3 linked regions of the Oryctolagus cuniculus genome follow. The protein of the gene in region 2 interacts with the protein of the main gene of each other region in a biochemical or structural test. Links are inferred from orthologs where the notes say so. Each region holds a gene or a part of one and is shown on either strand. Other genes may lie near its edges. The genes, in order: THBS1, COL1A1 and SPARC.

What was found.
Region 1: the proteins of COL1A1 (region 2) and THBS1 form a complex in vitro, tested with the Homo sapiens proteins (2 studies listed by BioGRID). The link is inferred for Oryctolagus cuniculus from reciprocal best matches to the Homo sapiens genes COL1A1 and THBS1.
Region 3: the proteins of COL1A1 (region 2) and SPARC form a complex in vitro, tested with the Homo sapiens proteins (2 studies listed by BioGRID). The link is inferred for Oryctolagus cuniculus from reciprocal best matches to the Homo sapiens genes COL1A1 and SPARC.

What each region holds. Positions count from the first base shown.
Region 1 is NC_091443.1:62,645,046-62,655,521, reverse strand, and holds the start of THBS1 (thrombospondin-1), read right to left. Parts: upstream 9,385-10,476; 5' UTR 9,219-9,384; intron 8,728-9,218; 5' UTR 8,699-8,727; coding exon 8,632-8,698; intron 8,347-8,631; coding exon 7,787-8,346; intron 6,970-7,786; coding exon 6,894-6,969; intron 6,590-6,893; coding exon 6,387-6,589; intron 6,260-6,386; coding exon 6,137-6,259; intron 5,145-6,136; coding exon 5,051-5,144; intron 3,363-5,050; coding exon 3,189-3,362; intron 2,706-3,188; coding exon 2,529-2,705; intron 2,205-2,528; coding exon 2,031-2,204; intron 1,837-2,030; coding exon 1,709-1,836; intron 1,595-1,708; coding exon 1,442-1,594; intron 996-1,441; coding exon 777-995; intron 314-776; coding exon 206-313; intron 1-205. UniProt on the Homo sapiens protein: Adhesive glycoprotein that mediates cell-to-cell and cell-to-matrix interactions.
Region 2 is NC_091448.1:26,153,163-26,163,638, reverse strand, and holds the start of COL1A1 (collagen alpha-1(I) chain), read left to right. Parts: upstream 1-1,447; 5' UTR 1,448-1,584; coding exon 1,585-1,687; intron 1,688-3,097; coding exon 3,098-3,292; intron 3,293-3,388; coding exon 3,389-3,423; intron 3,424-3,520; coding exon 3,521-3,556; intron 3,557-3,644; coding exon 3,645-3,746; intron 3,747-4,381; coding exon 4,382-4,450; intron 4,451-4,676; coding exon 4,677-4,721; intron 4,722-4,877; coding exon 4,878-4,931; intron 4,932-5,044; coding exon 5,045-5,098; intron 5,099-5,523; coding exon 5,524-5,577; intron 5,578-5,679; coding exon 5,680-5,733; intron 5,734-6,007; coding exon 6,008-6,061; intron 6,062-6,147; coding exon 6,148-6,192; intron 6,193-6,308; coding exon 6,309-6,362; intron 6,363-6,483; coding exon 6,484-6,528; intron 6,529-6,674; coding exon 6,675-6,728; intron 6,729-6,976; coding exon 6,977-7,075; intron 7,076-7,163; coding exon 7,164-7,208; intron 7,209-7,290; coding exon 7,291-7,389; intron 7,390-7,527; and 24 more. UniProt on the Homo sapiens protein: Type I collagen is a member of group I collagen (fibrillar forming collagen).
Region 3 is NC_091437.1:38,654,215-38,664,690, forward strand, and holds part of SPARC (SPARC), read right to left. Parts: intron 6,572-10,476; coding exon 6,503-6,571; intron 5,286-6,502; coding exon 5,214-5,285; intron 4,668-5,213; coding exon 4,583-4,667; intron 3,234-4,582; coding exon 3,112-3,233; intron 1,442-3,111; coding exon 1,321-1,441; intron 1-1,320.

The sequences.
Region 1 (10,476 bases), on a different chromosome or scaffold from region 2:
ATAACAAAACCCTCCTTTAAAAATTCTCCTGGCAACATTTATGTCTCCTCAAGCTACTAAACTACAATAAATAATTTCTAATTATCCTATGTATCAACTTGGCATAATTCTTCCTATAATTCCATAAGTTCCTTGAATCCTGAAATATTTCACATTGTTGCAAAGTTGAAGAGAAGCAACGGGATGGCACATATTTTGTTTTTACCCTATCATCTGGGATTTTGTCATTGTCATCGTCATCATCACAGGCATCTCCGATTCCATCCTTGTCATAGTCTTCCTGCCCCGAGTTGGGGAGGTTGGGGCAGTTATCCTAGGAAAGAGAAGATGCACATTACAGCTGTAGATTGTAGTTTCTCTGCTCAGCTCATGGATCATGCATGGGGTGGGACGGAGCACTGGGACATTCTGAACCAAAAAAGAACGGACTGCTGTTCTGTGACGGCAACCAGATGCCTTCTTGGGGGTTGCACATACAGAATGCGTATACATGCTCTAGGCTTTACACATGCTGTGAACACAAGGCATGATCTCATGGAACTTGGTAGGGGAGTGAGCCTTCTTTTGGACCAAAGAATCATCATGCACCACAACATGCCAACACAGCCTGCCCTGTTTGTGTTCTTGGCACCAAAGGACTCAACATTTGTGGATTACTGTCCTCTTCCTTTGGAAAATTTCATCTTTCAGTTTCGTTTTTGAGTTGTTAGCATTTAAAAGTCCCTGGCATACTCTGCTGCTACAGGTGATAGGCACACGTAGGAAGATGGCTGTACCTTTTTGCAGTGGTAAGTTGCGTTGGCCACACACACCAGGTTCTCATTAGGCCAGCCATCGAGGTCTGTGTCCTCCCCACAGATGATGCCATTGCCAGCATAGCCAGGCTTGCACTCACACCGGTACATGGGGTCACTGTAGTGGCCCAGGTAGTTACACTTGGCATTCTTGTTGCAGTCATGTGTCCCATCTGTGCAGGGGTTGCGTGGTTTGCACACCTGAGGATATACCATCCTGATGTTAACACAGAGCCTTCCAAAGTTCCCAGACAACACAGAAACAAGTAACATCAAGATCCTGGTTGGCTCCCTGTCAGAGGCTGCAACTGGAGGAGTGTGGATTAATTCCCCATTCTGCCCGCAAGGACGACCAGGCTACAAACAAGCTTTGCTGTACATTTATGTTTCTTGAAATTGCTTAGCACTTTGGCATTTACAGGTTCATTTACTTACAACTTATTCCAGAGCAGCATTTTAAAATGTGACTACTTTTCCCCTGCAGGAGTTACTATAGGTTTTCTAGTCATGCTTCTGAAACTAGACTGTACATTTCTTCCTCTCCTCTCTCTTAGTGCAGGGTATAAAATGACAGTCCTCCCTCTCCTAGTTGTTTCAGTCAAGGACAGCTCTTCTCTACTCTGGAGTACCAGCCTAGCCAACTGTACCTGTTTGTGGGCCATGGCATGTTCAACACCCCTTCCGAAAGGCTGCGTGCCAGTGTAGCGTGGAGGGCAGGGCAGGCAGTTGTAGCCAGGGTCTGTGTTCTTACACCTGTGCTCCCCGTTGTGGTTGAAGCAGGCGTCAGGCACTTCTTTGCACTGTGGAGTAGATGAAAGTTTGCTTAATGTTTAGAAAATGCAACCATAAGGACACGGCTAGGACAGGTTCACTGCTGTCCTGGGTCTCCTAACTCAGAGCCATCAGTTCCTCACCTCATCGACATCTTTGCACTGGATGCCATTGCCACTATACCCAGGGGGACAAGCACCGCATTTCCAGCTGCCGTCAGGGTAGCTAGTACACTTGACACCGGCAAAGCAGGGATTGGACAGACATCCATCTGAGACGAGATGAGAGAGACAGGTTAATGGTTGGTCTGGGCTGCTGTTCCTGCCATGCTGGGCACTTCAAAAGGCACCCAGTGTTAAGATACTGTAGGGTGTCTGTAGCTAAAAGGGTCATAAATGCGGGCTGTGGCGTTCAGTAAAGCAGGAAGCTCCTAGGGGGATCTTTGCGCTGGGCTGCATGGCTCACCGATTGGACAGTCCTGCTTGTTGCAGATCTGGTTTTCTGTCACATCACCAACGCAGTCCTTGCCTCCAAACTGGGGCACGGGGTTGTTGCAGAGCCGGCTTCGTTTCTGCACCCCTCCTCCACAGGTGACAGAACAGATGTCCCATGGAGACCAAGGACCCCAGCCGCCATTGACTGTAAGAAAATGAGTTCCATGTAAAAATTAAGGTCGCTGTTCAAATCTGTCACCGTCATACGAGACTCTCCTAAGCTTATTCAAGAAATCGCTGCTTCCCTGACATGGGAGAGATTATCTGGGAGGAGGGCTAGTTTGAAATAGTCTCCTCTCTGCTTTTCATTAAAAGAAGCTGCTGAGCACTGCAGGTCTTTTCTTCTGTTTGTTTATCTAGTAAGTAACCTTCCCTCTCCATGACCCACTGAACTGGAGGCTGCAGATGCCAGGCAACCAGCTGGGCAGAGCTGCCGCCCACACTGCCCTGCGGCTGAGCTCACACTTACTGGGGCAGGCATCTTTCTTGCAGGCCTTGGTCTCCCGAGCTTCGCCTTCACATGGTTTCCCATTCATCTGGGGGCTGGGAGAGTTGCAGAGCCGGATCCTTGTGATCACACCATCTCCACATGTCACAGAACAGGATGACCACGGGGACCAGTGGCTCCAGCCGCCGTCCTGTTTAACTGAAGTACAAAGCGGATGGTCACTGATGGTATTGGTTTGGTAGCCAAATAGAGGTCTGTCTCGGGATCATACAGAAATATTTCCAATGGCAACTGCACCATGTGTAGCAGAAATTGGCTCTTGGCCATGTGTCCTAACGCCAGCATGGAATGTCAGAAGTACATGTAATATTTTAGCTGTCTTTATGGGTTGTTATTAATAATGCAGTATTTACCAGGTGTTAACCATGAACAAAGTTCCATGTTGAGTGCTTTATAGGTGTCATCTAAATAAAAAGCTCAAAATAACCTTATCAAGAACTTACTGTCCCCAAGTTCCAGATAAGGAAAGTCACAGAGAGGGCAAGTTGTGCTCAAAGGTGCACAGTATGTGGGAGAAGGGATTCGGGGTCAGAGATTCTAGAACCTGCTGCAGAGCTGCTGTGAGTGGTGACAATAAGGACAGGTCAGTTCTCTGTATCTCTAAGAGGTCAAGATGCTTACATCTCTTGTCACATTCCTGGATGTGGCAGGTCCGCGTCTGGACCGAGGAGCCCTCGCATCGGTTGTTGAGGCTGTCACAGGAGCGGCCACGCTGCTGAATTCCATTGCCACATGTCACAGAGCAAGAGGTCCACTCAGACCACGGAGACCAGCCATCATCTGCTGAGTCACTGGCTGCAGGGAGAACAGGCCGTTCAGTACATAGTGATGAAGGCAAGCTATTCTTTAGATGGCTCTGCTCACAGCCCTTCACTTGCTAGAGAGTAAAAAGCAATACATTTCTCTTCAAGGTCTACTGAGGTATAACGGACAACAATCATATAAAGTTAAGGTGTACAACTGGTGCTGTGGTCTGCATCTGCCTTTTGAATATCACTGTCAAGCTAGTAGTTAATAAACTTATCTATGACTCCATAAAGTTACCTTCTTTCTTTTCCTTTTTCTCTTGGTAATGATTTCAGATCTAGTCTCTTGGCAAATGTCAAGTACATAATACAATATTATTACATGCTGTAGATGAGATCTGCAGAACTTAGTATCAAAGGTTACAAAGTTTTGGTTACCCCAGGTGGCTGTGTGTATAGCACTGGGGGTGACAGGATGTGTTGCCTGGGTCTGTACAGCTGAGCCTTCTCCCAGCCTCTGCTTGCCTATTCATTGCTTCCTCCTTTCTCCTTTCTCATTTCAAATGAATTTCCTATTGCTGACTTAAGATATGTGGACAGGCATTTCCAGGCTTAGGCTTCCAAGAATGCTCGAGTTTTAGGCATGTGGAGCTTTAGCTGTTTCTGATTGTCAGGGAAGCTGTGGACCATGTGCTTGACAGATGAGCCTGAAGGCGGCTTAGCTGCTGTCAGCTCTGGCTCCAACTCGGTCATGAGGTTAGTCAGTTTGGTGTTCCTCTCATCCCAGCATCTGGGGGTATTTTCTGCACATATTTGCATGAAAGGAGAATGTGTTTGTTTACCATCTGCCTGAGCACCATGACTACAATCACATCTAGCTGTATCAGACACGACAGAGAGCTTGTTTTCTTTTGCCATCAGTTGGAAATTTTCCTAGCAACCTCCGATTCAAGTTCAGAACTCTGCTAGCCTCCAGCAGCTTTGTTCCCTTGAAAAACACCCTTCAAGTGAATGTTGACCAGAAACTGATATACAAGTGGTCAGTCCAGTGCCAATACTGATTAGTCCAAGCCATGGCCAGTGTGTACAGGGGTGTGTGTATGTGTGTGGGTGTGTGTATGAAGGGCAAATACTACTTTCCTGCTTTCTTATCGTAGTTGTGATGACTCATGTCTATGATCTGTACCTAAACACTGTCTAAGGAAAGCAGTTAATGTATACTGGCAACCAAAAACCAAGGAGAGGGGGCCTGGAACAACACAGGGCCTTAGCACTCAAACTGACACTATTCTCTTAGTTCTCCTCTGTCAACGAGAATTTTCAGGCTCAATTCAGTCTAACACTCATACCATAAGCCTATTGATTTCTTTGGTAAGCAGATTTTTCTTAACTCTGTACCTCCTCTAAGAAAAAATGCTAAAAACAGCCAACTTAGGGCTATGGAGGTGGCATATTCATCTCCTTTCCTCAAAGCATAAAATCAGAGCCAACAGCCATTCCGAGATTCTTACTGCCTATACTATAATCCAGATGGGTGATAATATTTAGTCATAAATGAAGATTTTGGTGCCGCACAGCAGATAAGCTATCAGTTAACCAGCTGCTGCAGCAAGAAACAGAATAAACACATATGAGGGCGATGAGGGTGAGGTCCAATGTTGTGCTCTGCTGTCCAGGATGTATTACGACTGACCTAGTCGCTGGCTAAAGAGGGCTTATGCCATTTGGGGAACTTACGCCAACACCGCGGGCAGCATTCTCCATCAGGAACTGTGGCATTGGAGCAGGGCATAATGGGGCAGGACACCTTTTTGCAGATGGTGACTGAGTTCTACAAAGCAACAGAGTGACAGAGAAATGGATTACCTCGCATGTTGCAAACCCAAGTTCACGCAGTGTCACATTTCCATGATAAGCCAGAACGTGGTCATGGCTGTAAATGCTCTCGTGGAATGGTTTTGATAGAAGATCTGTGTAGCAGAGGTCCCGACTCTCAGGGAGACAGTTGCAGTGCTAGTTATTTGTCATTTAATTCCTTGGAGAGCCCTTTTTAACTGCTACTCAAAGGTAGAAGTTACAGCATGAAGAACTTCTATAAGCAGAACCAATAAATATCGTTCTCAAACTCGTGTTTGAAACTGAGCTGACAAAACTCAGCCAGAACTTTGAAATGGTTAAGTTTGCTTTTTTGTAGGGGGAAAAAAAAGACCTATAAGCACATCTCTCCCCCGTTTTTTTTTTTTTTGCATTTATAAATCTGGATTTATCGTATTGGAAGAGAATGGAAATGTAATGAAGTTGGCTTCCAAATTCAGTCATCTGTGATTTGTATTAAAGCCTGACTTTGCTCCATGAGCCAGGAAAACCTCCTTGCTCCTCTGCCAGTGGTGTGGGGGTAGCAGGCAATGCAATCCGAGCTAAGAATACAGGGGCATCCTAACAATATGGGGCTAAGTGACTCCAGCAACAACCGGTACTGTGGTGAAAGAACCTCTGTGCCACAGCTGAATACCAGTCGGGGGGAGGGGACGAAGAAGGAACGTCCCAACCAGGCTTTAATCACCCGACATTCAACACTTAGCCTTTGAACTGAAGCAGGTAAATGATTCAGATGTCTCAGCAGATTTTTTTTTTCCCTGAAATACTTAGCCTGGGGTATAATTAGGACTTGGACAAACCTTCTGCGAGTCTAAATGAGAATTTGGTACCTGGTTTGGGAACATGAAAAGAATTATGTGGTCGTCTGAGTATTTGCCCAGGGACTGCAGCTTCAAACACGTGGTGGCGAGCCTTGGTTTATGTTAGTGTGTGAAGAGCCCTCACCTGACAGCGACACTCAGTGCAGCTGTCCACGGTCCATTCCTCGTTATTCCTGTACTGGACCCCATTGTGATAGCAGAGGGGAGGCTTCCTCAGCTCATTGGCCAGCTCTTTGTTCTCTTCAGTCTGAAAGGAGGAGACAGATCGTTAGTGTCTAGGTTTATGTTCCATCGCTAGGCGTCCTCTGTGCTAAGGCCTCCAGGGCTCGTGTGAACAGGCTGAGGGGTGGGTGGGGAGGCTACAGGCCACTGACCACTTTGCGAATGCTGTCCTGCAGCGTGGTCACGATGGTGCGCAGGCCCCTGAGTTCCAGGAATATGTTGGACAGCTCATCACAGGAGATGCCACAGATGGCCTGCAGGTCCTTTGTCTTGTGGCCAATGTAGTTAGTGCGGATGGCAGGGCTGGACCCGTTCACCACATTGTTGTCAAGGGTGAGAAGGACATTGGTGGATGCTGGGAAGCGAACACACAAAATGAACAAGGCAATAAGATAGCTTCAAATGGATGATCTTACCAGCCAGCCCTCCCAGTTCTTGGTTGTAAATGCCATTTATTTCATGTGGAGGGAGGGAGACAGGTGGAGGACATGCATGTGTGTGCAAATGCCCACTGAGGTCACTTCACCTCTTAACTGGGTTCTCTGGGGAGAATTCATGCACAATCACCTATGCTTAAATTTCTGTTTGTTTTTGGTGGGATTCCCACTCCCACCTGCCCTGATTTCCCCCATATGCCTTAAAGAGAGAGGGGTACTCACCACTGGAGCAGCCTTTGTTCCTGAGGATGTCTTCTGGTGTGGTTCCAAAGACAAACCGCACATTCTGCAGTGCCCCCTGTGGGCAGAAGACACACATTACATATACAGTGTGGAGACCGGGGCTCTATGGGAAGGCTGTGCTAAGAGAAGCACACAACAGATCATTCACAAAGCTTCAAAGGGTCCTGTTTTAAGATCACTCTATCAAAATAACACACCAACATAAATTGCCAAACAACTTCAAAATCTTAATTGTGCCTCCTGCCAAGTCTTCAGTATTTGACAAGGAATTCAGTTATCTGCCTACTTGGGTACACAGGAAATGGAATCTGATACAAAGCCTGGAGGATACAATGACACTATCCAGTGTCAAAGAGTTAAATGTGGGAGTTCAAAGCCAGAGTCACAAACATAGGGGCTAAGGCCAGGAAGAAGCTGCAGCAGCAAATAACCACAATTTTAACCTCTCGACTGAGACCGGCTCAAACCCCTACAAAGAATCCAAGAGCAAAGCGATTATTGATTCTGCCGTGCAAGCCCCTCGTGAAGCAGTATTAAAAGTGGTGGGACACATTCGAGGTTAGTCTTCTTGAGAGCCTAAGGAGTGCCTGTGGCTTGAACAGGCTGTCACAGCAAAATCATGGGCTTCCCTGGGGAGTTTTTGACCCGTGGCTCCTCGACTACCATCTCAGCCTCAGCATTATCTGGCACTTGTTAGAAATGCAACTTCTCAGACCCATTCCAGTGCACTGAACTGGGGACTCTGGGAGTGGGGTACAGCAGCCCTCCGGGGAAGGTGATGCTTCTAGAATGGGAACTGCGGCTTTGGTCTCCCGACAGGTCAGCAGGCTAGCAGACGGCCCCAGGACCAGGGCGCAGAGAAGCGGCCTCACCTGGAAGTTGTCATTAACGCCTCCCTTGGCGATGCGGAGCCTGGCCACGTTGGCCAGGTCCCTGGTGAAGATGCTCTGGATGGGGACGTCCAGCTCAGCATTCTCCATCTTCTCGCAGTCGATGTACAGCTGGGCCCTGTCTTCCTGCACAAACAGGGTGATGCTCTTCCAGTGGCCGGTCGCCAGCAGAGCTTCCTCCACCGACACCACATGCTGCTTCCCCTGCACGGTCAGGCTCAGGTCCAGGGTGCCCGCCTTGCCGTTGGAGACCACGCTGAAGACCTGGCCAGAGTGGTCTTTCCGCTCCAAAGCCAGCAGCGTGCCCCGGGTCTTCTTCATCTGCCTCAGGGAGGCCAGGAAGAGGAAACCTTTCTCTGCGCGCACAGCATCCACTAGGTCCTGGAACTTGTCGTCAGGCACCGGGGGGATCAGGTTGGCATCTTCGATGCGGTAAGCAGGGCTGGAAGGGTCAGGACCCTTCACGAGCCGGCGCCCAGAGCCCTTGCGGGCAGCCCCGGTGAGTTCAAAGATGTCAAACACGCTGTTGTCTCCCCCAGATTCTGCCGGACAGGAAAGGACAACAGTGAGTTTTCTAGGCTAGGGCTGGGGCTGGGGCTGGGGCTGGGGCTGGGGCTGGGGCTGGGGCTGGGGCTGGGGCTGGGGGAGGGAGCTGAGCCCTGGCAGCCGGCCCACAGGCACGGGCAGCCACTGAAAGAGCTGACTGGACACCGCGATCAGAGCAAGGCTGCATCTTGATACTCAGCTGGGGCTCAGGGGAGAGACGGCTGGGAGGGAGAGCCAGTGCCTTCTCCTTCCACCTGCCCTGAGGTGTCGCACAGACTCACCTGGAATGTGGTTGCTGCCACACACCTGCAGCAGGAACAGGACACTGAGTCCCCAGGCCAGCCCCATGGTGGAGCTGTCTGTGCCCAGCAGGGAGCCTGCAGCAAGAAGCGCAAGAGCACAGGGTCAGAGACAGCGAAGACTGGGGGCTAGTAGGGGGCCAGAGCCCCGCAGCCCTCCTGGGCCTCACATTCGCTGGAGACACCGCGGGACTGGTTTTCCAGAGGGCATCATGCAAAAAATGAGAGTTGGAGGGAGGTGAAGCCAGGGGCACCCGGACCACCAGCGGGGGTGGGGGGTTGTTTCTTGGGAAGTTGAGAGTGAACAGCAGGGCCAGGAGATGCAGCTAGGGGGAGGAGGGAGGGCATGACGAAGTAGCCTCCTCCCTAGAGGACAGTTAGCAAGGTTTAGGTAGGACTTGGAGGAATCCTGGGGCGCTCTGATGAGTTAGTTTGTGAATTCCTAGCTGAAGAGTCCCGCCGGCGGCTGGGAGGGACAGAATGGGGGCAACGAAAGAGAGGAGAACCTGGGAGCTCGAGATGGATGGCCAGGGCGGTGCGGGCTCCTGGCGACCGCCCGGGGCGCTTACCTGTGTAGACGTGGGCTCAGCGGCCGGGAGCGGCGGCGAAGACGCAGGAGAGGCGCCGGGGTAACCGGTTAGCCCGGGGGACCGCGGTCGGACTCGCAGGCTGAGCAGGAGGATCGCTCGCTCGCTGGAAACCCGAAGTGGCCGGCTGGCTCGGGTGCAGTGGCTGGCGAGGCGAAGCGGCGCGCTTTTAAAGGGGGCGCTCGCATTCCTGGGGATTCCTCTGGCCAATGGGCGGCGACCGGGCAGGAAGCGGGAGGGGGGCCAGTCTGGGTCGCGCTCCCCGCCCCCAGCCGCCCGGCGCGCAGCTTTCCAGCTAGGAAGCTGAGGGGGGAGCGGCTGCCGGCGCAGGAGCGTCGCAACTTCTCAGAAATAACAGGCGCCCGCCCAGGCAGCCTTGGCGCGCGCAGCCTCGGAGCTCGGGCTCCTGGGCCACGCGGCCCGAGGCGTTTGGCGCGAGCGTCCCGGGCAGCGATGGGGCTTAGCGACCACCGCAGACCCATGGGAGGGCTCTCGGGCAAGCTCGTACCCTTGAATACCCCGCCCAGGGCTGTGGCTCAGAGGTGGACGCTTTGAGACGGCTTTGCAAAAATGGTGGGCCTGATGGGGACACAGGGGACCCCTCGGGAGAACCAGCTGTCCGGGAGAAGTGGCCCCTGGGGTGCAGGCCGACCCCAGCCCATCATCCTGCCGGGGTGGGGCGGCAGGCGTCCCCCGTGCCGACGCACCTGGACTGGCGCGCACGCCTGCCCCGCGCCTGACCTCTCCAGGCTGAGCGTGCGGAGTCGCGCCGGGCCTGCAGGGCGCTGTGCGCAGCTCGCACTTGCCGAGTCCCCGCGACGGTCGCTTCGGCGGTGGCTGCCGCGCTCCCACGGCTTGCCGCTTGGGGGCGGTATGCGTATTGCTATCGAGGGGACCCACGCCGAGTGCTGCTTGCCAGTAGGGGAGTTTTAAGCGAATGGACTCCTGTCCGGCTCCCTCAAGCCAAAACTAAAGTTTGTGTCTTGAAAAACAGTCTTCGTGCCCACTCGTGCTTCTTAACGTGACTCCTGGTTGGAGAGTTTGCAGAGCCATCTGGCTCCAGGGTCTTAAACTATTTACAGAACAGACCCGGAGAGTAATAAATTACTCGCTGCCTATTATTTTATTTCCCTTTTTCCTCCCTAAGCGTTCCTTTCATTTTTCGGCTCCTGAAACCAAGGCGTGGGTTACATTTCTGTGGGTACGCACATTGCCATGGGCCCTGCAGCCTGATGCTTCT
Region 2 (10,476 bases):
GGCGGGAGAGGAGCTGCTGTGCACTGCGGGAAGCCCCCAGAGCCTTGTCTCGGACCCAAAGACTATGGTGGGACCAGGGCCCCGGACAGATGGAGGCTGATGTAGGGTACTGCTGGGGCCTGGGACACCAGCTCTGGGACACCAGCTCTGGGAGGCATCTGCCCCAGACGGAGCCCCTGCCCCAGATATGGTCTTTTAGGGGTCAGATGGTTCTCTCCTCACTTCAGGGCCAGAGCATAAGACCAGGATTTTCACAAAAGAGGTGAGGTGGTAGAAACAGCCTCAACCTCCCCTGTCATCCCATCCCTAGCCCCAAAGCAAGTCTCTCCCAGGACACCCCAAGTTTCCCCACACACACCAACCCTGAGTTGAGTTCAGGGACAAGCAGGGACGGAAGGGGCTTTGTGCAGCTCCCTCTCCGGCCAGGTGTCTCCCACCCAAGTTCCCTCTGGTTTGTGCTAAGCGGGAGGGTCTCCAGCCAGCCTGGACCACAGCCAGGACAGAGCCCCTTTCCCAAGTCACCAGTGATATCAGGCCTTCTACAAACTCAGGGACCAACTCTGAGGGACAGGTGGCTGCACCCCCCACTCCGTCCACACCTCTGAGCCCCGGCACTCCCTGGTGTGCACCCTGCGCTGCCCAGCCTGCACCCAAGCTTCCATCTGGAGCAATAACAATGTCAGGTGTCAGACCCTGGGCCTCAGCCTCCCCAGCCCACCGTCCTCGGCCATGCCTGATGCGTGTGTGTCGTGGGGGAGCACTTGAATCTCTTCTGGAACCTCAGGCATAGCAGAAGAGTGGGCACCCTCAAAACAAAACGCCCTGGCTGTCACCCCTATCCCAAGGATCACATTTGCAATGTCTATCAAGCTCTGGACAGTCGCCCCCACTTCCTAACCGGCAAGCTTCAGCCCCACCAAAAGACACCCCAAACAGGCACATCCTTTAAATGCCTAGAGCCTCGAACTTTGGAGAAGGTCCCCAGCTGCCCCCTCCCAGACCCACTCCTTAGATCTCGCCTACGCCAGCACAGGCTGAAGGGGACAAGGCCAGGAGGACCCTCTCCCAGTCCCCCAACCCCTTCCACCTTTGGAATGGGGGCCATCCAGCCCCCCAGTTCTACCTCCTCCAGATCGGAGGTCCCAGAAAGAGTACAGGACACCCCCTATCCACTCTGGAGCCCACACTCTACAGAACACCCAGCCGCACCCGGAGACAGTTCCTCTGGCCCAGGCTGGGCTGGGGGGCTGGGGCCGCGGAGCTGCGAGAGGGGGAGATGTGGGGTGGACTCCCTTCCCTGCCCTGCCCTCCTCCTCCCCCTCTCCGTTCCAACTCCCAAATTGGGGGCCGGGCCAGGCGGCTCTGATTGGCTGGGGGCCGGGCGGCCGGCTCCCCCTCTCCGATGGGCAGGGTTCCTCCCCGGGCTCCCTCAGGACGGTATAAAAGGGGCCCGGGCCAGGCGTCGGAGCAGACGGGAGTCTCTCCTCGGGGCCGGAGCAGGAGGCACGCGGAGTGAGGCCACGCATGAGCGGACGCTAACCCCCCACCCCAGCCGCAAAGAGTCTACATGTCTAGGGTCTAGACATGTTCAGCTTTGTGGACCTCCGGCTCCTGCTCCTCTTAGCGGCCACCGCCCTCCTGACGCACGGCCAGGAGGAAGGCCAAGTTGAGGGCCAAAGCGAAGACAGTAAGTCCCCAACTCCTGGGAGTCCCCGGCTTCGTGGACTCTCGCCCTGCGCTTGGTCCCGGAGGCTGCGGCTTAAACGCAGAGTCAGATGCTCCGGAGACGGGTCGATGGGGAGGGCGCTGGCGCCCTCGGCGCCCCGGGAGAGTGGGATTCACCCTGGGGTGGGGGTGGCAACGAATGTCTGCCCGGGAGCGGGAGGCAAGGATGGAGCGCGCCGGGCGCCGGCGCGGGAGGAAGTCCCGAGCGCGCCCCGCGGAGGGCTGAGGGGACAGCTGCGATCTAGGCGCGGGGCGAGGGACAAGCACGTCGAAGAAGGGCTGGGGGCTCCGCGCTGGGCACTTGGAGCCCGCGCCGTGGAAGCGGTCAGGAGGGCTGTGGGATGATTCATAAGGAAAGATTGTTTGTCCTCGCTGCAGGCGAGACCGTGTTCCTGGGGCCGCGGGGGAGGGGCCGCAGAGAGGGGGCGGGTCGGTGGCCGGGAAACTTGGGCGCGGACTTGGCAGGCGGGGTCCTGGCGCCCCTCACTGGTCGACGCCGAGCACTGGCGCGCCCCGTGCTGTGCTTCTCCGGCCGAGAGCCGGAGCGCCGAGACCTGGGTTGCTGTCGGGCGAGGACCCCACCTCTGTATCTGGACAGCAAAGCCGTGGATGGGTAGCCCTCGAAAAGAAGGGGCCTGTCCTGGGAAATCGGCCCCGCCCGGTCCCCATTGCTTGGTGTTGCCCGCCACCTGGTGGCCGTCTGGGTAGATGCTAGCGCGGTGGGCGTGGCTAACTAGTTTCATACTGTTTGCGGACTTTTGGGTTACTCGGCAAAGAAGTGATCCAGAGAGGCCCCGGCTGGCTTTAGGGGACTAGGCTAGCCCTGAGAGCTGACTCTTAAGAAGTCCGGGCGCTGACGGTTAGGGCGTATGCTATTTGAGGGACGCGGTTCAAGCCTCTGGGCGGGACCCGTCTCCAATAAGCCCCTCCCCGCTCTCCTAGCCCCTCCCACTCCGCCCCACCTGCCCCGGGAACGGGGGCGTGGTGGGGGCTGGGCCTCCCTCGTCTCCTCCCCACATCCCTTTTGGTCTCCACGTCCCCCCTGGCTGGGCCCCTCCCTTTCTCCGCCTTCCCGCCCCCCACGGCTTTGTGCGTCCCTGGGCTTCCGCGCCAATGGGCTGAGGCTGGGATTGGAAGCATCCCCGGCCCTAAGCTTTGTTTAAATTCCTGAGAACTGGAAAGAGTTACGGCCGCCCTGGCCCGGCGCCCCGGCGCTGTCACCGGCGCTGACGAGGAGCAGACGAGCAGTGAAGGATTTGGGGGAAGGGGGAGGGGGAGGCGGGACGTGGAAAGTGCGAGTGTGCTTCCAAGAGGGAACGGCCGGCCAGCCGAGGGTCTACGGCCGCTGACGCCCCTCCCCGCCCTGCCCCAGTCCCGCCAGTCACATGCGTGCAGAACGGCGTCCGGTACAGTGAAGGCGAAATATGGAAACCGCAGACCTGCCAGATCTGCGTGTGCCACAAGGGCGACGTCTTGTGCGATGACGTGATCTGTGAAGACACCAAGGACTGTCCCGGCGCGAAAGTGCTCCCCGGCGAGTGCTGCCCTGTCTGCCCCGAAGACGCGGGTACGGACGGGGCCCGGGGCTGGGGGCGGGGGCGGGGGCGGGGGCGGGGGCGCCGCAGGCAGAGCCGGCCTCTAACCCGCTCCTCTTCTCCCCTAGGAGCACCCACGGACCAGGAAACCACAGGAGTCGAGGTAAGCCTCTGCCCCCCGACTTTCGCCATCCCGCCCGTGACTCTTTGCTCCGCTCCCTTCTCTAACCTGCACCCGTGTCCCTTCTCCAACTCTATAGGGACCCAAGGGAGACACTGGCCCCCGAGGCCCACGGGTAAGTGCCGTCCTCCCTCGGCGGTGGGGCTGCAGGTGGGCGTGGCTCCCGGCCGTCGCTCACTCTGGCCCCGCCCTCGCCCCTGCAGGGACCCGCAGGCCCCCCTGGCCGCGATGGCATCCCTGGACAGCCCGGACTTCCCGGCCCCCCCGGCCCCCCTGGACCTCCCGGACCCCCCGGCCTCGGAGGAGTAAGTGCAGAATGGAAACACTGCATGTCCCTGTCCCCGCGTTGTTCCGTTGCTTTGGTGACATGACCACATTCTGGAATAGCCCCCAACTTAGAGAAAAGGTGCAAGAAAAGCGCCCAAAGCTTGCATATCCCCCGCACAGTCCCTCCATTTGCTGAACTGAGTCAGGTTTAGCTACCATTCACTTTGTGCTGAGCGGCTGGAGAGTGAGATGCTGATCCCACACTTCAGGTGTGTTTCCTGAGAGAGGAGCATTCCCTTACATGACCAGAGCACAGTGATTGAAACTGGGACATTGAATGCCATCAGCCAACAAACCAGTCCACATCCAACTTGCACCAATGTCCACGTAATGTCCCTTGTAGCTTTGATTTTTCCCTGATGCAGGATCCAATCCCAGGTCAGGAGTTGCCTTTCATTTGCCGTGTTGGTGTGGCGTCCATGAGTGTTCCTGGCCCTTGGGGACACTCAGAGCGTTTGAAGAGTCTGCACTGGTGCAGTCGCGCAGTCCGAGATGTCTGACCAGCTGCGTGTGGGGCAGGAAAGCACGGCTGTCCGTGTGTGCTGCTCTTGGCGATGTTTTCCGCCTCCCGATTTCTCATGCTCTCTCTGTCTCTCTCTCTCGTTTTTTCCAGAACTTTGCTCCCCAGATGTCTTACGGCTATGATGAGAAATCCGCTGGAGTCTCGGTGCCTGGCCCCATGGTGAGCCACCAGGGGGAGCACAGATGACAGAAGAGGAGCAGGCGGGGATCCAGAGGGGCTGGGCGGGTGTTGGCATGCGCCCCCCACTCACACCCCAGGGGGCGGCATAGACCAGCCGTGGGGCCCGGTGGTGCCCGCGGGAGTCAGTGGGAGCCGGCGAGGCTCCGCCCACGCTGCGTTTCCCTGCAGACTCGTGCCATGCCCCCCCTTTCTTTTCCCTCTGCAGGGTCCCTCTGGTCCTCGAGGACTTCCTGGCCCACCTGGCTCACCTGTAAGTATCCAGGAGGGCTTCATATACACCGTGGGCTCTGGGCTTCTGGGAGGAGGACTGGGATGAGGGCCAGGACCGCGCTCAGAGAGCTCTCGCTGAGACAGGGAAGCTAAGCAGTGACCTGCCCTTCTAACCCGCTCCTCTTTCCTTCTCCAGGGTCCCCAAGGTTTCCAAGGCCCCCCTGGCGAGCCTGGCGAGCCTGGAGCTTCTGTAAGCATCCCCGATGTGGATTCCCCGTCCTGTGGGAGGACCCCACGCACGCACTGGGGGTCTCCCTCCCTGCCTCTGAGGATCCTGACTGCCTTTCCTCCTCCCTCCTCTAGGGTCCCATGGGTCCCCGCGGTCCCCCTGGCGCCCCTGGCAAGAACGGAGATGACGTAAGTAGCACCGTGAGGAGGTACCGTCTGGCCCCATGGCCTCCACTGGCTGGGTCCCATAATCTCCACCCCAGAGCCCACACCACCTTTGCAGGTGACACCCAGAGGCAGGAGGGCATGTTCTCCCTGAAGCAAGGGGCTGCCCTTGAGCCCTTAGCGGATGACTTTCCCCACCCCCGGCCCAGGTTAAGCCTCAGGTGCACCTTAACTGCACCTGGTATGTAGATGGTGAGGCTAAAATGCTGGTGACGGACATGAGCAGTAGGTGCTTTGCGGGGTCTCAGATTTTGCACACGAGGCTTCCCTGGCAGATTGAACTTGAGCTCTAGACTCCAAGATAAGGTCTGGACCCATACACCTGACCTTCCTCCCCCTCTTCCCGACCTGAGATGCATGGCCCTGATGGCTTTTCCTCTCCCTCTCAGGGAGAAGCTGGAAAGCCCGGTCGTCCTGGCGAGCGTGGGCCTCCTGGGCCTCAGGTAAGCAGCGGCTGCAGCCACACTGGGTCTGCGTTAGGGAGCTGCATCCACAGTGGTCAGGCCTAACGTCCCTTCCTCCGCCTCCTTTTCTCCTCTCTCCAGGGTGCTCGGGGCTTGCCCGGAACAGCTGGCCTCCCTGGAATGAAAGGACACAGAGTAAGTTTCCTGTGAGGCATCTTCTACGCTCCCTAAGTCCCTTGCATCCATGGATCCAGCGCCTTCCCCAAGGGGTCCTGCTGTGAGACACAGTGGGCATCCAAAAGAGCTCCCCTCCACGAAAATGAAGGCCCAGAAAGGGACTGGCTGAGAACTTGTTCCCACGGGGTCTGGTCCACTGGAGATGGGCAGATGGGTGGGCAGGTTCAGGGTGGTCCCCAACCCCCCCCCCAACATCTGCAGAGTCTCATCTTGTCCCTCCTGCCTACTTTAGGGTTTCAGTGGTTTGGATGGTGCCAAGGGAGATGCTGGCCCTGCTGGTCCCAAGGTAAGGGTCTGTCCGAAGGTCACGGTCCCCCTCCCCTCCACAGCCCCACTGTGAATGAGTTCCTCACTCTGTTCTCTGTTCTGTAGGGTGAGCCTGGTAGCCCTGGTGAAAACGGAGCTCCTGGTCAGATGGTGAGTGAGCCAGCTTCTAAAGGGAAGGGAGCGAGCAGGTGCGGGGGGAGATGGAGGTGTGGGAGTCGGAATGGTGGTTTCCCGTCTCATTTGGTTTCTGTTGACTTGGTTTCCAGGGCCCCCGTGGTCTGCCTGGCGAGAGAGGCCGCCCTGGAGCCCCTGGCCCTGCTGTGAGTACTCCTGACCCCTGGCGGGTTGGGGGTGTCCCTGGGCTCTTGGAAAGACTTCCTCGGGAGCTGCAGGGACTGGTCTTCGCTCAGTGCATGTAACTGGGTCCCCTTCTTCTTGCAGGGTGCTCGTGGAAACGATGGTGCTACTGGTGCTGCCGGCCCCCCTGTGAGTATGGCCCCTTGACCTCAGTGGTGGGCGCAGGGTCACAGGGTCAGCTCTTGGTTGCTCTGAACCCCAGGATGTCCTCCGTCCCAGGGTGTAACTTGCAGCTGCCAGCTTCCTTCCTGCTAACATCTCCCTTTCATTCTCAGGGTCCCACTGGTCCCGCTGGTCCCCCTGGCTTCCCTGGAGCTGTCGGTGCTAAGGTGAGACCTTTGTCCTCCCCAGAGCATGACTGTCACAGGCCAAGGCGTCTCCCTGCTCCCCAAACCAGAGGGCTCCAGAGTGGCAGGAGGCAGAAAGCCATTCTGCAGCACCTTTGTCCCGGGGAGGCCAGCAGGTGCTTCTCTGATCTCAGAGTCCCTGCTCCTCGGCCTCCTGCCCTTGTGCCCGCCTGCCCACAGGTGAGACTGATCCCAGGCTGCCTCCTGACGTGTCTTTTCTTCTGCCCCAGGGTGAAGCTGGTCCCCAAGGAGCCCGAGGCTCTGAAGGTCCCCAGGGTGTGCGTGGTGAGCCCGGCCCCCCTGGCCCTGCTGGTGCTGCTGGCCCTGCTGTGAGTGTCTCCTCCCCAGAGGCCCCTGGGCCACTCCCCAACCTTGTGGATCCTTGTGGGTCCTCACTCTCCTTTCTCTGTGCCACAGGGAAACCCTGGTGCTGATGGACAACCTGGTGCTAAAGGTGCCAATGTGAGTATCCTACTGGGTGCGCCCATTCCCACCTGTCCCAGCCCTCTACTCCTGGGCTCCATGTCTGTTCTGCCTCCCACAGGGCGCTCCTGGTATTGCTGGTGCTCCTGGCTTCCCTGGTGCCCGAGGCCCCTCTGGACCCCAGGGCCCCAGCGGCCCCCCTGGTCCCAAGGGTAACAGTGTAAGTGCCAGCTTCTCACCTGTGCCCACCCCACCCGCGCCCATGCACCGGCTCCAGTGCAGCCCTGTCTGCTGGGTAGATGGTGACAACTGAGCGCCCTCCACCCTCCCCTCATCTCCTTCTCCTCTTCCCTTGCAGGGTGAACCTGGTGCCCCCGGCAACAAAGGAGACACTGGTGCCAAGGGAGAGCCCGTGAGTGCCTGCCTGCCTTGGGTGCTCTGGAGAGGGGCTCAGGGGCTGGCACCAGGGCGTCCCCTCACCAAGGCTGCCCCCTGCCTTCTGCCCACTCCAGGGCCCCACTGGTGTTCAAGGACCCCCTGGCCCTGCTGGCGAGGAAGGAAAGCGAGGAGCCCGAGGTGAACCCGGACCTACTGGCCTGCCCGGACCCCCTGGCGAGCGTGTATGTGCCCCACCCCGTATCGTCCCCAACCCCACCACCGCCTCCTTGCCCACCCCAGTGCCTGTCTGGGTCCGTTAGCTCACGGCCTGCTCTCCCCTCTGCAGGGTGGACCTGGCAGCCGTGGCTTCCCAGGTGCAGATGGCGTGGCTGGCCCCAAGGTAACCTGTGCTCCCTCGCTGGTCACCCCCCACCCCGCCACAGGCACAAGCGCTCCTGCGCGTGAGTGCAGCTGCAGGTGTTGGTGCCTCTTTCCCTTCCACTGGGCCTCACCTCTGCTATGCCTCCCACCCCGAAGCCCACCCAAGCCAGCGCCCACAGCCTTCCTTGTGTAAGGAGGAAGAGGCGCTGGCCATGGTCGCAATGCCCGCACTCAAGCCCCTCGTTTTCCTGTGACTTTTCCCAACCCAGGGTCCCGCTGGTGAACGTGGTGCTCCTGGCCCTGCTGGCCCCAAAGGCTCTCCTGGTGAAGCTGGTCGCCCCGGTGAAGCCGGCCTGCCTGGTGCCAAGGTGGGCCCCCAGCTCTGCCGCCCAACTTGGCCAGGCACCCCCTGGCCTGTTGGGGCATGGGTCTGGGATGAGGCTTTCTGGAGCAGGCCATGGGTCTGCTCCTGGGGCTACCCCCCACCATCCCCTTCTCCCCCTACTCACACTTCTGTTTTTCCCCCACACCCAGGGTCTCACTGGAAGCCCTGGCAGCCCTGGTCCTGATGGCAAAACTGGCCCCCCTGTAAGTATCCCTCCCCGTGAGCCCTCTCCCACCTTCCCGTCTGCCACCCCTGTCCCCATCTGACTTTGTGCCTCCCATCTTCAGGGTCCCGCTGGTCAAGACGGTCGCCCCGGACCCCCAGGCCCCCCTGGTGCCCGTGGTCAGGCTGGTGTGATGGGATTCCCTGGACCCAAAGGTGCCGCTGTGAGTATTGAGTAGGGAGCAACTCGGGGCTTGGGACAAGCACGCCTGGCCGGTGAGAGTCCCAGGCTCTGGCCCAGCCCTGCTGCTGACTTGCTGTGTGGCCTCACACTGCTCACTGCCCCTTCCTGGGCCTTGAGCACCTTATCAGTAAAATAAAGGACTTCCGGCTTCCCAGCCATTGCTCTGTGCCTGGAACTAAGTTTTGTGGGTGCCCCCGGCCCCACTCCCCAAATCTTGGAGGGTTTATTGAGGTTCAAAGAAGGCACCAATGGAGGAGAAACCCTTGGCAGCTGAGGCCACAGTGCGCACGGAGCAGGGGGAAGGGAGGAGGGAGGGTGGAGGGAGCAGGGCTTGCAAGGCCTCTGTGATTGTGGGGAGGGGCTGAGGGCCTCAGGCCTAAACTGCATGTGCACAGCCAACAGCCACCCGACTTTGGAGAAGGAGGTCCCTTTTAGAAACTCCTCCTCAGAGCAAGTAGGAGGCACCTGTGGGGCCTTCCGGTCTCCCTTCAGCCTCCTCAGCCTGCCCGCCCTTTCCTCCCCAGGGAGAGCCCGGCAAAGCTGGAGAGAGAGGCGTTCCTGGACCCCCTGGCGCTGTGGTAAGCAGCCCCTTCCTACCCCGCGCCCCTTCCTCCAGCTGCCCACTGGGCCTGCCACCCTGAGCACTCCCTTCCTGCCTCCCCACAGGGTCCTGCTGGCAAAGACGGAGAAGCTGGAGCTCAGGGACCCCCTGGACCTGCTGTAAGTGGCCCTGCCTGGGAGGCCTGAGGCGGCGCCCCCTGTCCCCTGCCCCGTCCGCCTTTCTGTGACCACAGCTGTCTCTCTGTGACAGGGCCCCGCTGGAGAGAGAGGTGAACAAGGCCCTGCTGGCTCCCCTGGATTCCAGGTGAGGCGGCAGTCAGGGAGCTGGGGGCTGGAGAAGGCGGGGACACCACTTTGTCCTCTCCAGATTCTGAAGCCCCTCCTCTTTCTCCCCCCACTGCTCACTTGCAGGGTCTCCCTGGCCCCGCTGGTCCTCCTGGGGAAGCAGGCAAACCTGGCGAACAGGTAAGAGGGAGCCGTTGGCCGAAAGGGTGTGTGGGCAAGGAAGGGAATGCAGAGGGCCAGGCACCTGCTGCAAGCTATTCAGACACTGTTGGGATGAAGGTTAGACACGGGGAGGGACTTCCTCGGAAAGGGAAACAGGAAGTGTCACGATGTGACCTGGGGTTGCAGAGCTGCCCGTCTGGGTGACTTTGAGGAGCTATAGGACGCTGTGGCTCCCCCTCCCCCTGGCCTGGGGAGGACAGCTCTCAGTGCAGAGTCGGAAGGAGTGGAAGGGCTGCGGGGCTGATTGTGCAAGGGCCAGCCCCAGAAGCAGGGACAAGAATCCATCCTGTGCCTAGGGCTCACTCTTTGGTCTTCCCTCTCCTTCAGGGTGTTCCTGGAGACCTTGGTGCCCCCGGCCCCTCTGGAGCACGAGTAAGTAGACGCTGTGCCCCTGCTCCCAGCCAGATGCCCTGTGGCTGTCTCTGAGCCTGGAGCAGCCGTCACGCCCTGACTTTCCCTTCTAGGGCGAGAGAGGCTTCCCTGGTGAGCGTGGCGTGCAAGGTCCTCCTGGTCCCGCTGGCCCCCGCGGATCCAACGGTGCTCCTGGCAACGATGGTGCTAAGGTGAGGGCAGCCCAGGGAGCAGAGCTCACCCCTCCTGTGGCAGGAGCATGATGGCCAGGGAGATGCTGGGGGAGCAGGTGGGGGGCTCCCAGGCAGCCCGAAGTCAGGGTTGTGAATCTTCCTTCT
Region 3 (10,476 bases), on a different chromosome or scaffold from region 2:
CTGAGGGGATCCTAGCAGGGGCTGCGCCTGCGCTGGTGCCATCGATCAGTGACAGATGCTTGAAGCTGTGAGCCTGAGGAGTAACAGGTGTCCACAGGCCCAGCTTTGCAAGGATGGGGATGGAGGAATCAGGGCTGCTTCGCCACCAGAACTTTCTTAGATGTAGCGACTAGACCCTGGTCTTTGGAATTTACAATCTCAGAATACCAGACTGGGAGATTTCATCCAGGTCCAGCCCTCTGATTTGACTCAGAGGTCAGCATGGAGAGAAGCGATCTGTTCAAGGCCACATTATCTGAGCCACAGCCCAGTGTGGTTGCCTGGGAGCTCAGCCTGTTCCTCCCTCATCCCTGGGCCTAGAGAAAGCACCCTCTGTGGGCTGGGACCACTGCCTTCCTGACCCTCCGCTGGGGAGTGGAAGGGAACATCTGGGATAGAAACACTGCAAGTTAGGGAGAACTGGCAGCAGGCCTGGGGGACAGCAAAGCTTCCTGGGAACATTCTTAACCTCACGGCCCGAGAATGTGCTAGCACCCTTTCCTCCCGCTGCCCTCCTCCCATAGTGTCTGCTTTCTCCTTTCACGCCCTGGGCCCCATCACTGGGAGAGCAGGCATGACCACAAGGAGAACTTTATTTCTAGTCCCTCTGCCCCACTCTGTACACCTGCACACCTGGGCAGGTGATGGCTCCTCTCAGTGCCAGAATGGACCAGACCCCCTGAGTATGGATGTTGTCTTGGCGGGGGCTTGGGTGTCTTGAAGGATAGGGAGGGTGCTAAGTCCCTGAGGCTTACTTATAGCTGGGACCACTCACAGAAGACCAGACAGCATCCCAGCATCCTTTTGCCAAACACCTGCCTCCCAGGAGGCCAGGTGAGGGCAGGTAGGAATGTAATGGAGTGAATGAGTCTGAATATGACAACTCTGAGCAGTAGGGCCCAAGGGGAACTGACAGGCATGCCTTATCCCAGAGCACTGGTATCCAAACATTGTTAAAATACTTTGTAAGACTGTGTCAGGCATCATTTTTGGTTCACATCATTGCAGCAGGAATGATTCAGGTCAGCCTTCCAGAAGGACTGCCTCATCCGAGAGGTGCGGTTGGAAGCTACTGAGTGCTTCCGCAGTTGCTCAGTCCTTGCCCTGAGAGGAACCTGCCCTCAGACAATCATCTAACTCCATAAATGGGAACTCCAGGAGGCTCTAAAAGGAGAAGAGCTTTACTCAAGGCCACACAACATGGGGTCGGCAGAGCCTGCGCCGGTTCCAGTACAGAGCGCTCTCTGGGACAGGAGTCTGGAAGGGCCCAGGAGCACTCACATTTGCAAGGCCCAATGTAGTCCAGGTGGAGTTTGTGGCCCTTCTTGGTGCCCTCCAGGGTGCACTTTGTGGCAAAGAAGTGGCAGGAGGAGTCGAAGGTCTTGTTGTCATTGCTGCAAACCTGTTGGCAAAGCACAGAGCATCCCCTCCTCATTCCCGAAGCCCGTGGCTGGCTTCCCTGTCCTCGCCCATTTCAGTGTCGGGGACACAAGGGACCAAGAAAGCAGTGTGATTAGCCCAAAGTCACACAGTGAATCAGTGGCGTTGCAACAGGGACCCATTTGGGGGGCTCCCAGGTGTATGTCCAGACCATGCTGAGACTCACGGACGGTCTCCAACAGAGGCACAACTGAGACAGGGCTGAGATATGGGAACCTAGAAGATACTGGAAGGATGAGTGAAAGATGGGGGCCAGGAAAAGACAAGTGTGTGCAAAGAGGAGCAAACAGAGCAGGCTGGGGACTGCTGTCCCTGGAGAGTCTGCTCACAAGGTTGGCCCTTGGCTGGCAGACAGCTGGTTACTTGCACTGTTGGAAAGCGTTCCCCGCCTGACAGGGAGGCTCACTGTGCCCAGACAGCTTGTACGCTGTGGTTTCAATTGGACATCCGCTTTCTTCCCAGGAGTCTGGAATCTTGGTACATGATAAGCACAGGGTGCCTGTGGGACAGACTCCCACTAAACTGCAGGAGCTGTCTCTGATGGGCTTCCCAGGGCAGCAGCATCACTCACATGTGGCTGCCTTTCTGTAGGTAGGGTAAGAATGTGCTCTAAGGGACCCCTCACGGAGGCGCCCGAGCTTTCTCCCTGTGACCTCGCTTCCTATCCTTAATCTGTCACTGTAGCAGGACCGTGGCTGTGAAGTCTTCTGACTCCTCCTGGTACACCTCTGAGCGTGCGAGTAGCCAGACAGAGATGCTGAGGGCTCAGTGGGGGCGGTGGCAGTGAGAGCTGTGTCGGAGGGGAGCCTTAGTGAACATCCTGCATGTAGGCTCTTAGTGTTGTCACATGTCACTGCAGAGGGGCACCTGCTGGGCCTTGGAGACCAATGCGAGGTGTGATAGGGGAGGAGAGATGAGAGGGAGAGATAAAGTATGCTGTCGTAGGGAGAGACAAAGATGGAGAAGCCAGCTAGGGTGTTATGCAAATAGCGCTGGTACCAGATTTACTGCTGTGAGCTACACTGTGGCTGGCAAGAGTGGGTGGTCAAAATCCAGGTGCCAGGAGGGAGTGGAGGATGGATGAATGGGTCCTATTGGAGATAAAATGGATGGACTTGAGAGATTTTTAAACAGCAGCACTTACTGGGTACTTTATATGGAGCAGGCAGTATCTGGCAGATCGCCGTAGGAGCCCTAGTAGTTAACAACTATTTTCATCCCCTCTTTAAACAGGAGAAAACTAAGATCCAAAAAGGTTTAGTAACTGAGCTAAGATCTCACAGCTAACAAGGGATGAGACGAGGTTTGGAGCCAACCTTTGGTCTGACCCACATTTTGGACCCTATGCCTGGTGTAGCTGCACCCAAGTAGAGAGGTTCCCTGTCTCAGTCCTTGTTGGTTGATGGTTTCTGGTCTGAGATTGTGGAGTCTGGCACAGAGATTGCAACCAGATGGTGCCAAGGAAATTCCTGCTGGTTCTTGGCGAGATCCAGTGCCAGGCAGGGCCGTCTCTGACCCTCTCCCCTGCCCAGCTGTGACCAGACCGAATGAGGGGACTTGGGGACTGGCAGCTGCCCGGGTGGACCACCACATCACGGGTTTGTGGGGAGACACTCTGCATTCTGAGCTTACCTTCTCAAACTCGCCCACGGGGGCAGGGCAGCTGGTGGGGTCCTGGCACACGCACATGGGGGTGTTGTTCTCATCCAGCTCACACACCTTGCCGTGTTTGCAGTGGTGGTTCTGGCAGGGGTCTGGCAGGGTGCGAGGGCACAGGATTAGCCGCACGTGGGGCTTGCGTGTTCACCCCAAGCACATCCCAACCGTGCTCTGAGCACATGAAGCTTGGCTGTGGCCCCTGATCCGGGCTTTGGGTGGTCCCGAGTCTGCCCTGCTCTTCCCTGGGCCTAGCACTCGCCATTTAGGGGAGCAGCTGATCCTCTCTGGGAACTGAGTTTCCATCTGAGGTCAAGTCAGGCACCTCTGTGGAGCTGGCGGCTCAGTCTGGGACGCAGAACACCTGGCACCGTGTGACTCCCCGAGGGCTGACGCTGCCACTGTGCTCCCAGCTCAGCTGAACAACCATAGGGAGCCATTTCTGGACTCTAGAATGGGCCTTCTGGGAAGCCTTGGAAAGTTGTCAAGGAGCCAGGAAGCTGTGAGGCCCAACCAGACAGCCTTAAGGGGCCGTAAAGGAAGAGGGAGCAGAGCATGGAGGCGCACACAGACAATGGAGCCCAGCTGTATCTGGTAAACACCGGATGGGGTGGGCGTGGAGGGAAGGAACATGACTCAGCAGACACCCCTCTGCTCCAACTAAAACGCAGTGCCCAGCTGGGTGCAGGCGCCCGCTCATCACCGCCTCGGGATGCGCCTTTCCCCCATCATGCTCACCTCTGGGCATTTTAATCCCCCCGGAGGGGGTGCCTGCTCTGCCCAGCACCAGGCCAGGACCTCTCTGCTTTGTCTTGTCTTGCTGCTGACAGCCCTCGGCAAGACTCTACTCCCCCAGGAAGGGGAGGAAGCTGTAGCTCCGAGGAGCAAGGCAAGCTATCACGGAGAAGCCTAGCTTCGAGCTTCCCAGGCCCACGCCTGGGTGGGAATGCCCCAGAACGGGTGCTGGCGCCTGCCTCTGCCTCTGGCACCAGCTCCCCGGGGAGCAGGCCGTGGGCTCTGCCACTCTTCACTTCCTTGAGGAATAAGCTGTGCGTGAAATGTCCTGATCTCTACCCTCAGACCTGCTGTTTCACAGGGCCTGTGCTGAGAGAGAGGTCGGGGCATCCCGTGCGCAGGAGTGACCAGTGACCTCGGCGGGAAGGTGGACTCCCACTTTGCAATCCGGGCAGAGAGCTGTGAGGGAAGGAGGCCACTTCCAGGAGGGGACCTTCCCTTCCTGCCACTCAGCACGGATGGCCTGGCTACAAATACATGGGCCCCAGCCTCCAGGGCACTGAGTGCCACAGTGGATCCCCAGCCTTTAAATCAAAGCCATTCTCCTCCACAACACACTGGGAACCCCACCCCTCCCTCACTTCCTTGGGCAGGAGCCTCCCAGGGGCTCAGGCCCAGCCCCAGGCAGCCACGCCACAGGAAAAGGACCTACTTTCGGCCACTACTTCCTCTTCGGTTTCCTCAACTTCTTCAAATTCTCCTACCTCCACCTGCACGGGGTTGGCTCCCACAGGTACCTGGGAAGGAGGGAAAAGAATGAATCAAACACTGCCCCACCACAGGCCTGGGAGAAGGAGGTGGAGACCAGAGGGGCACTTGCCTGAACTTCGGGGGTGGTGAAGACCAGCTGGAAAGGTGGGCTGGGCCCAGGGCACAGGGAGCACCCACACCAGGGGTTTAGTCTCATAATGATTATTTGTCAGTGTATTGATACATTCCTAATTAGCCATATCACATGTTTTATAGCGCCCTGGGAGTCCACTGAGTGCCCCAGGGGACACCACGGCTGGATGTCAGAGCACGAAGGGAAGGTAGAAGGTGCAGCCTCCACCCATGGCAGCTGCACCTGAGCAGCTCCCCCTTCATCTGCTTTCCACGTGGGGGACCGTGGGCTCCACGGACGGTCTGGGCCGAGTTCAGGAGTGTGTCTGGATTTGGGGAGTACTCAGCGATCGCTCCTGTGCTGTGTGTGAGCACAGGACGGGAACAGATGCCCCATGGCGGCATGCAGAACCTGCGGTCCCCAGCAGCGCTTCCGAGGGAGCAGATGTGGGCAGACGTACCTCAGCCACCTCGGCCACCTCAGCCACGGTCTCCTCTACCACCTCTGTCTCATCAGGCAGGGCTTCCTGCTGCTGCGAGCAAGAGAAAGTGGGGTTCAGAGGGGTCAGGGCCAAGGCCGGGAACACAGCTGGGGGTGCTCGGAGAGCAGCTCACTGGAGATACCCAAGGCTGTGCCTCAGCAAATGCCTTGGCATGGGGGACGGGGCAAAGGAGAAGTCACGGCAAGTGGGAGCAGCGTGCCCGTTATGTACTTTTCATCCAAGGTGTCTAAGAATTAGCCAGGAAAAGCGCTTCTGATGCTCCGAGTTCCTCTAAGGCAGGAAACACACTGATCCAGACCAGCTCCCCCATTTTACAGATGGGGACCCCGACACCAGAGGGGTCACACACCGTGATGCCCTTACGTTCCCCACCATGTGATCTTACTGTTGGGCAATTCCTTCTTGGATTTCAACTTACAGGAGGAAGGCGGGAGACAACATCTAACGCTGAGGTCCCTGGCTGGCTGGAGCTGCTGCTAAGATGAATGCCTACCTTTGCCAAAACCTACCAATCAGGATCGCCAGTGCCTCCTGCCCTCCCACCTCTGCGGAAGAGAGTCCTGGGTTGACAGACACTGCTCTGTTTGCCTGCCCCCCATTTCTTCCTCCTGCTCTTGACTGAGCTCTGGATAACCTGGACTTCTGCAAAGGACTATGTCAGTCAATGAATGCCCCACCCTCCCCAGGCCAAGAAGCAGGCGGATGACCCAAGTTCAACCAAAATGGCTCTTGCTGACTTTTTAAATTCTCCTTGGCACATTCTGTCAAGATGTGAAAGCTGCCGGAACTGAGGCTTTCCGTTGGCAATGTCTCGGAGACTGTCCGTTGGCTCTGCCACCCAGAGCCGGGGCTGCCCTTTCCAACCCTCCCCAAGCCCTCTGAGCTGTAATCCACCCTGTATCTCTCCCCACACCACCACTCCAGGGAGCATCCTCCCAGCCAGCATCCTTCTTGCCCTCATGGAATTCTGCCTCTGACAATGAGGTCACTTCCTTCAAAAGCCACCCTGGTCCATTTCTAGGAAGCTGCCACTGCTGAGTTCATCTTCACCTACCAGGAGCTCTCTCTTCCCTGGAATCTCCACTTACTGCACTTCATCTCAGTTCTTCTCCTGAACTTGTTGGCTTAAGAAAAATTCTTTTTAAAAAATAAGAACTAATTTGGGGTGGAGAAGTCCTACCCCATCTGAGCACCTGAGGCTGGGGGTAGGAGGTACAACTGAGAAGATCCAGTGCTTCGGTACTTACAGGGGCTGCTAAGGCCCTCCCAGCCAGGCAAACGAGAAAGAAGATCCAGGCCTTCATGGTGCTGGGAACCTGCGGGAGGGAGAGAGAGAGAGAGAGGTCAGCGGGCGGGAGGTTTCCTGACGGCGTTCCCGCTGCACTCCTGTGATCTGCGAGATCCTTTCCGGTGGCATCTGTTACATGGTGGAAAAGACACGGGAGGCAGTTGGTTCCCTTGAACTCCTGTGATCCAGAAAGCCTGAGTTGGGTGCTGAGCAGTCTCCTGACATCTCTCTAACACATCTCTCGCTTTTTTAACAAAGAGAAAGCAGGCCTCTGGCTCAGCGCCTCTGACAGGAAACCGTATCCTGCCAGAATGCAAGGAAGTTGTTTAGTTTCCTCTCTGTTTATTTTTATAGCTTCCTTCTACTTATGACAAAGGTCCAGAGTTTTCCATTTATTGTTATGCTATAAGATCCCCTTTCTCAATGTATTTATTTACATTTTATAGAAGTTAATTAATAATCTGGACTAATTTGTCAAGTTTAGGCCACACCAAACTAGATCATCTTCAAGGGCCCTCGAATGCCTGGTGTTCGAAGATTGTTTTTCCCCCTACACTTCAAGCTCTTCTTCCTCCTCCCTACCCCTTCTGCAATGGGAGAAGCTAATAGGCAGCAACCTCCTGCCAGTGTGACACAACGAGATCCACCTCCTGAAACAAACAGCAGTAGTCTTGCAGTGTGGCCTGTGCACACCTGAGGATGGTCACGTTTTTCTCCAGCAGGGACAACACTTTTCTGGACCCTCTAGGGAAACTGCCCAGATGCTTCCTTCATTATGCTGCAGAAGGGGTGTGTCAGCTGAGGTCTAGAGAACTCCTCTGCCTTGGCCACATGAAAACCTTGTTTCCTGCATGTTGGGCTGTATTCTCTAGACTCTCATGATTATAAGGGGTCTTGGAGCAGACTCTTCTCTGATGCCAAGCCTAAGAGAGAATCTGTGGTGGAGACATTTTCCTTCTTGCACTAACTAAATGGCCTTCCACGTCCAAATGGCTTTAGACAGTTCCTCCCTTATATCCTGTTCCAAATATGCCTCCCTTATACCTGTCCCAGCCAGTCCCATCGCCTCTTCTGTAGTCACACAGAATAAACCTACTCCCTCTGCCTCTTGAGTTGTCCCAAAACTCTCATATCAGGCTCATCATCCCTAGTTGTTCCCAAGATTTCTCAGCTGACCAAGCATGGTGGTGGAAGGTACCCCAGGAAAAAACACTCATGTTCGAATCCAGTGCCAGGGCTTGTTCTACCTCAGTACTGTCTTGCTGTATAAGTCCTTCATCCTGTTGGGAATCTGACTGCCCATCCATCAACCGAGAAAGTTAGACTAGGTAAACTGCGACCTTAAAAATACTCTGGAAATGTCACAGGCACATGCTGGCCTTGGCATTTCACAGTTCCTTGGGTGCTGCCCATCTTCACTTGGGTTATAATATTTAGAGACACAAAATCTTACCCCTCATTTCATGAAGTCTGCATGAAACAAAACTAACAGGAATTTAAAGGAATTGACCTTGGGGTTTGGCACTGCTTCATGATAACCCCAACTCCCAGAGGAGTCCAGTATTCCCTTTCCAGGCAGTTTCTGGAATATTCCTCCCCTACACACAGTTGCTCACTTGTTCCCCCAGACATAAGTGGAAAAAAAATCTTCTTCCTTGCTTCCCCTTTTGGAAGACACAAGTAAAACAGCTCCTGCATGTGGCTTTGGACGAATGCAACAGGAGGGAAAACATCAACAAAGGCCTTGTCTGAGACTAAAGTTGAAAGGTCGAAGTGAGAGTGGCAGCTAGAACAGAGTCACCCCATCTGGGCAGTAATGCCAGCGAGGCCACGTCCTTGGGGGAGAGCCCGGCTAGGAGTGGAGATGTGAAAAGCTTCACAGTTAGACAGCCAAGAGGATTGACAGTTCCTGAGCCCACGTCCCTCACCTGAGCAGACTCCCATTCCCGCCATGACCAGGGAAGGGTTTTGCTGCTTGAGTCTTCCATCTGGCCTGCCTCGCCGTCTTCCTGCTGCACACCCACCCTGTCTGCCATCCCATCCCTGGCTCCAAGTCTGGTATTGCTTCATGGTTTCCAAAGCATTCTCTCATGCACACTGACCCTCTAGAGCTTTCTGACCACACTGGGATGTAGGCAGACAGGCGTGGAAGGGTCCGAGTCCCGCTTCCCTGAGGAGGAGCATTCAGGTCCACCCCAAATGGACAAGCCTCCCTTCTCAAGGACTTGGGGTGAGCCTAACAGGGACGGAGCTCAGACACTGGGGTGTGGTGGGAGAGAAACGCAGAGAGGAAGACCATTAAAAACAGAACACAAGTCCTTGGCCGAGAGTGGTTTTCCAAATTTGGGCAATGTTACATAACAGAACCCTTTCCTCCAGACGAGGGGATGCAGGGAAAGGAAGCAGCTGGGCTAATCTGGATGCACAGCCATCCTCCCTGAGTAACCCATGAGGAACCTCTCCGCGGTTCTCTAAAACACCCCTGACCAAAGAGGCCGGTGTCCATTGTGCAAAGCTTGCACGGTGCGACCACCACTGCAGAGGGCCAGAACAGGGAGGTGCAGCATTCAGACGCAGTAGCTGTGATCCTCCGGAACCAGACGTGCACCAGCGCCTGGATCGAAGTGGCCAGCACTGAATGAGAACCCCCTCCTTTGCAACTTTCTATGACAATGCATATGGTTCCCCTTCCCAGAGTGTGTTCATAGTCAAGCGTCCCATCAGAGCTTCCAGGCATGTCTCTCCACCTAAGAGCGCAGATGAGAAAACTGAGACTTAGACGGAGGTAGGATCTGCCCACAGCTAATAGCCCCAGGGCACAAGTGGCAGGACCGGGGTGAGGCCCCATGGGGCTCCCTCCACCACTGGCAAGTTCTCTATGTCAGCACATGCTATTTTACTATTTCGCTTGGCAGCCACTCCCTCCCGAGGTGGTCACCTGAGTGCAGCCCAGTTGGGCTGTGAACTGCCCAAGGTGTTGGAAGGAAAACTGCTCTGGGCCATGGGAGGAAGAGGAGGTGTATTTCCCTTGGCGGGGTGGCCACCAAACACAGACACCCCTCACCCTTACCCCCACCTCACCACTGCCGCCTCCTGTTCCGTACTTTGAGTCCTTTCCTTTTGCCTTTATTTGCTCTGGAGATGGCTGAAAACCCGTCCCTGGCTGCCAGCAGGACCCGAAGCTGAGGTCACTTCTCTTTCTTTGGAAAGACTGTGGGGATGGAAAAGTACAGCCAGCCCCCAGTTCATCTCCCACAGAACATACAGGGCCGCCTTCGGGCTCGCCCTGGACACTGAAAGCCACCGAATGTCAGAACTGGGGGAAATCTCAGAATTCTATAATTTCAGATTGTGGTTCTTGGAATCACTGATGCTTAGAATGTGAAACACAGAATCTGAGCTGGAATCACTGGCCCTGATGGGAATGAAAGAGTTTACGGAGCAATACAACTCAATAGAACTTTCTGAGCTCATAAAAATACTCTATATCTGCATTGTCTAATATGGCCACTGCTGTCCAGATGTGGTTATGAACACTTGGAGTGTTGCCAATGCAAATGAAGGACTGAATTTTAAGTTGTGGTTCAACTTAATGAATTTAAGTGTTAAATAAATAGCTACATGTGATTAGTGGCTTCCATAGTTCTCAGAGTGTCATAAGCTTTTGCAGAGGTTTGCAGGAAAAAGATAAGCTCATGGGCTCTGGAGCCAGCTTGTATAGGTTCAAATGCCACCTCTACCACTTACCAATTGTGGGACCTTCAGAAACCAACTTTACCTCTCTGGGCCTCAACTGTCTCCTCCTCTGTAAAATGGGAGGAATAGCACACCTACCTTGCAAGGTGATCTATACAAGACAATACAGATAAAAAGGTAACCAATGTTTGGGAGAACTTCTTCAAATCCAGGGGTCCTGGACTCTCCATCCCCCTC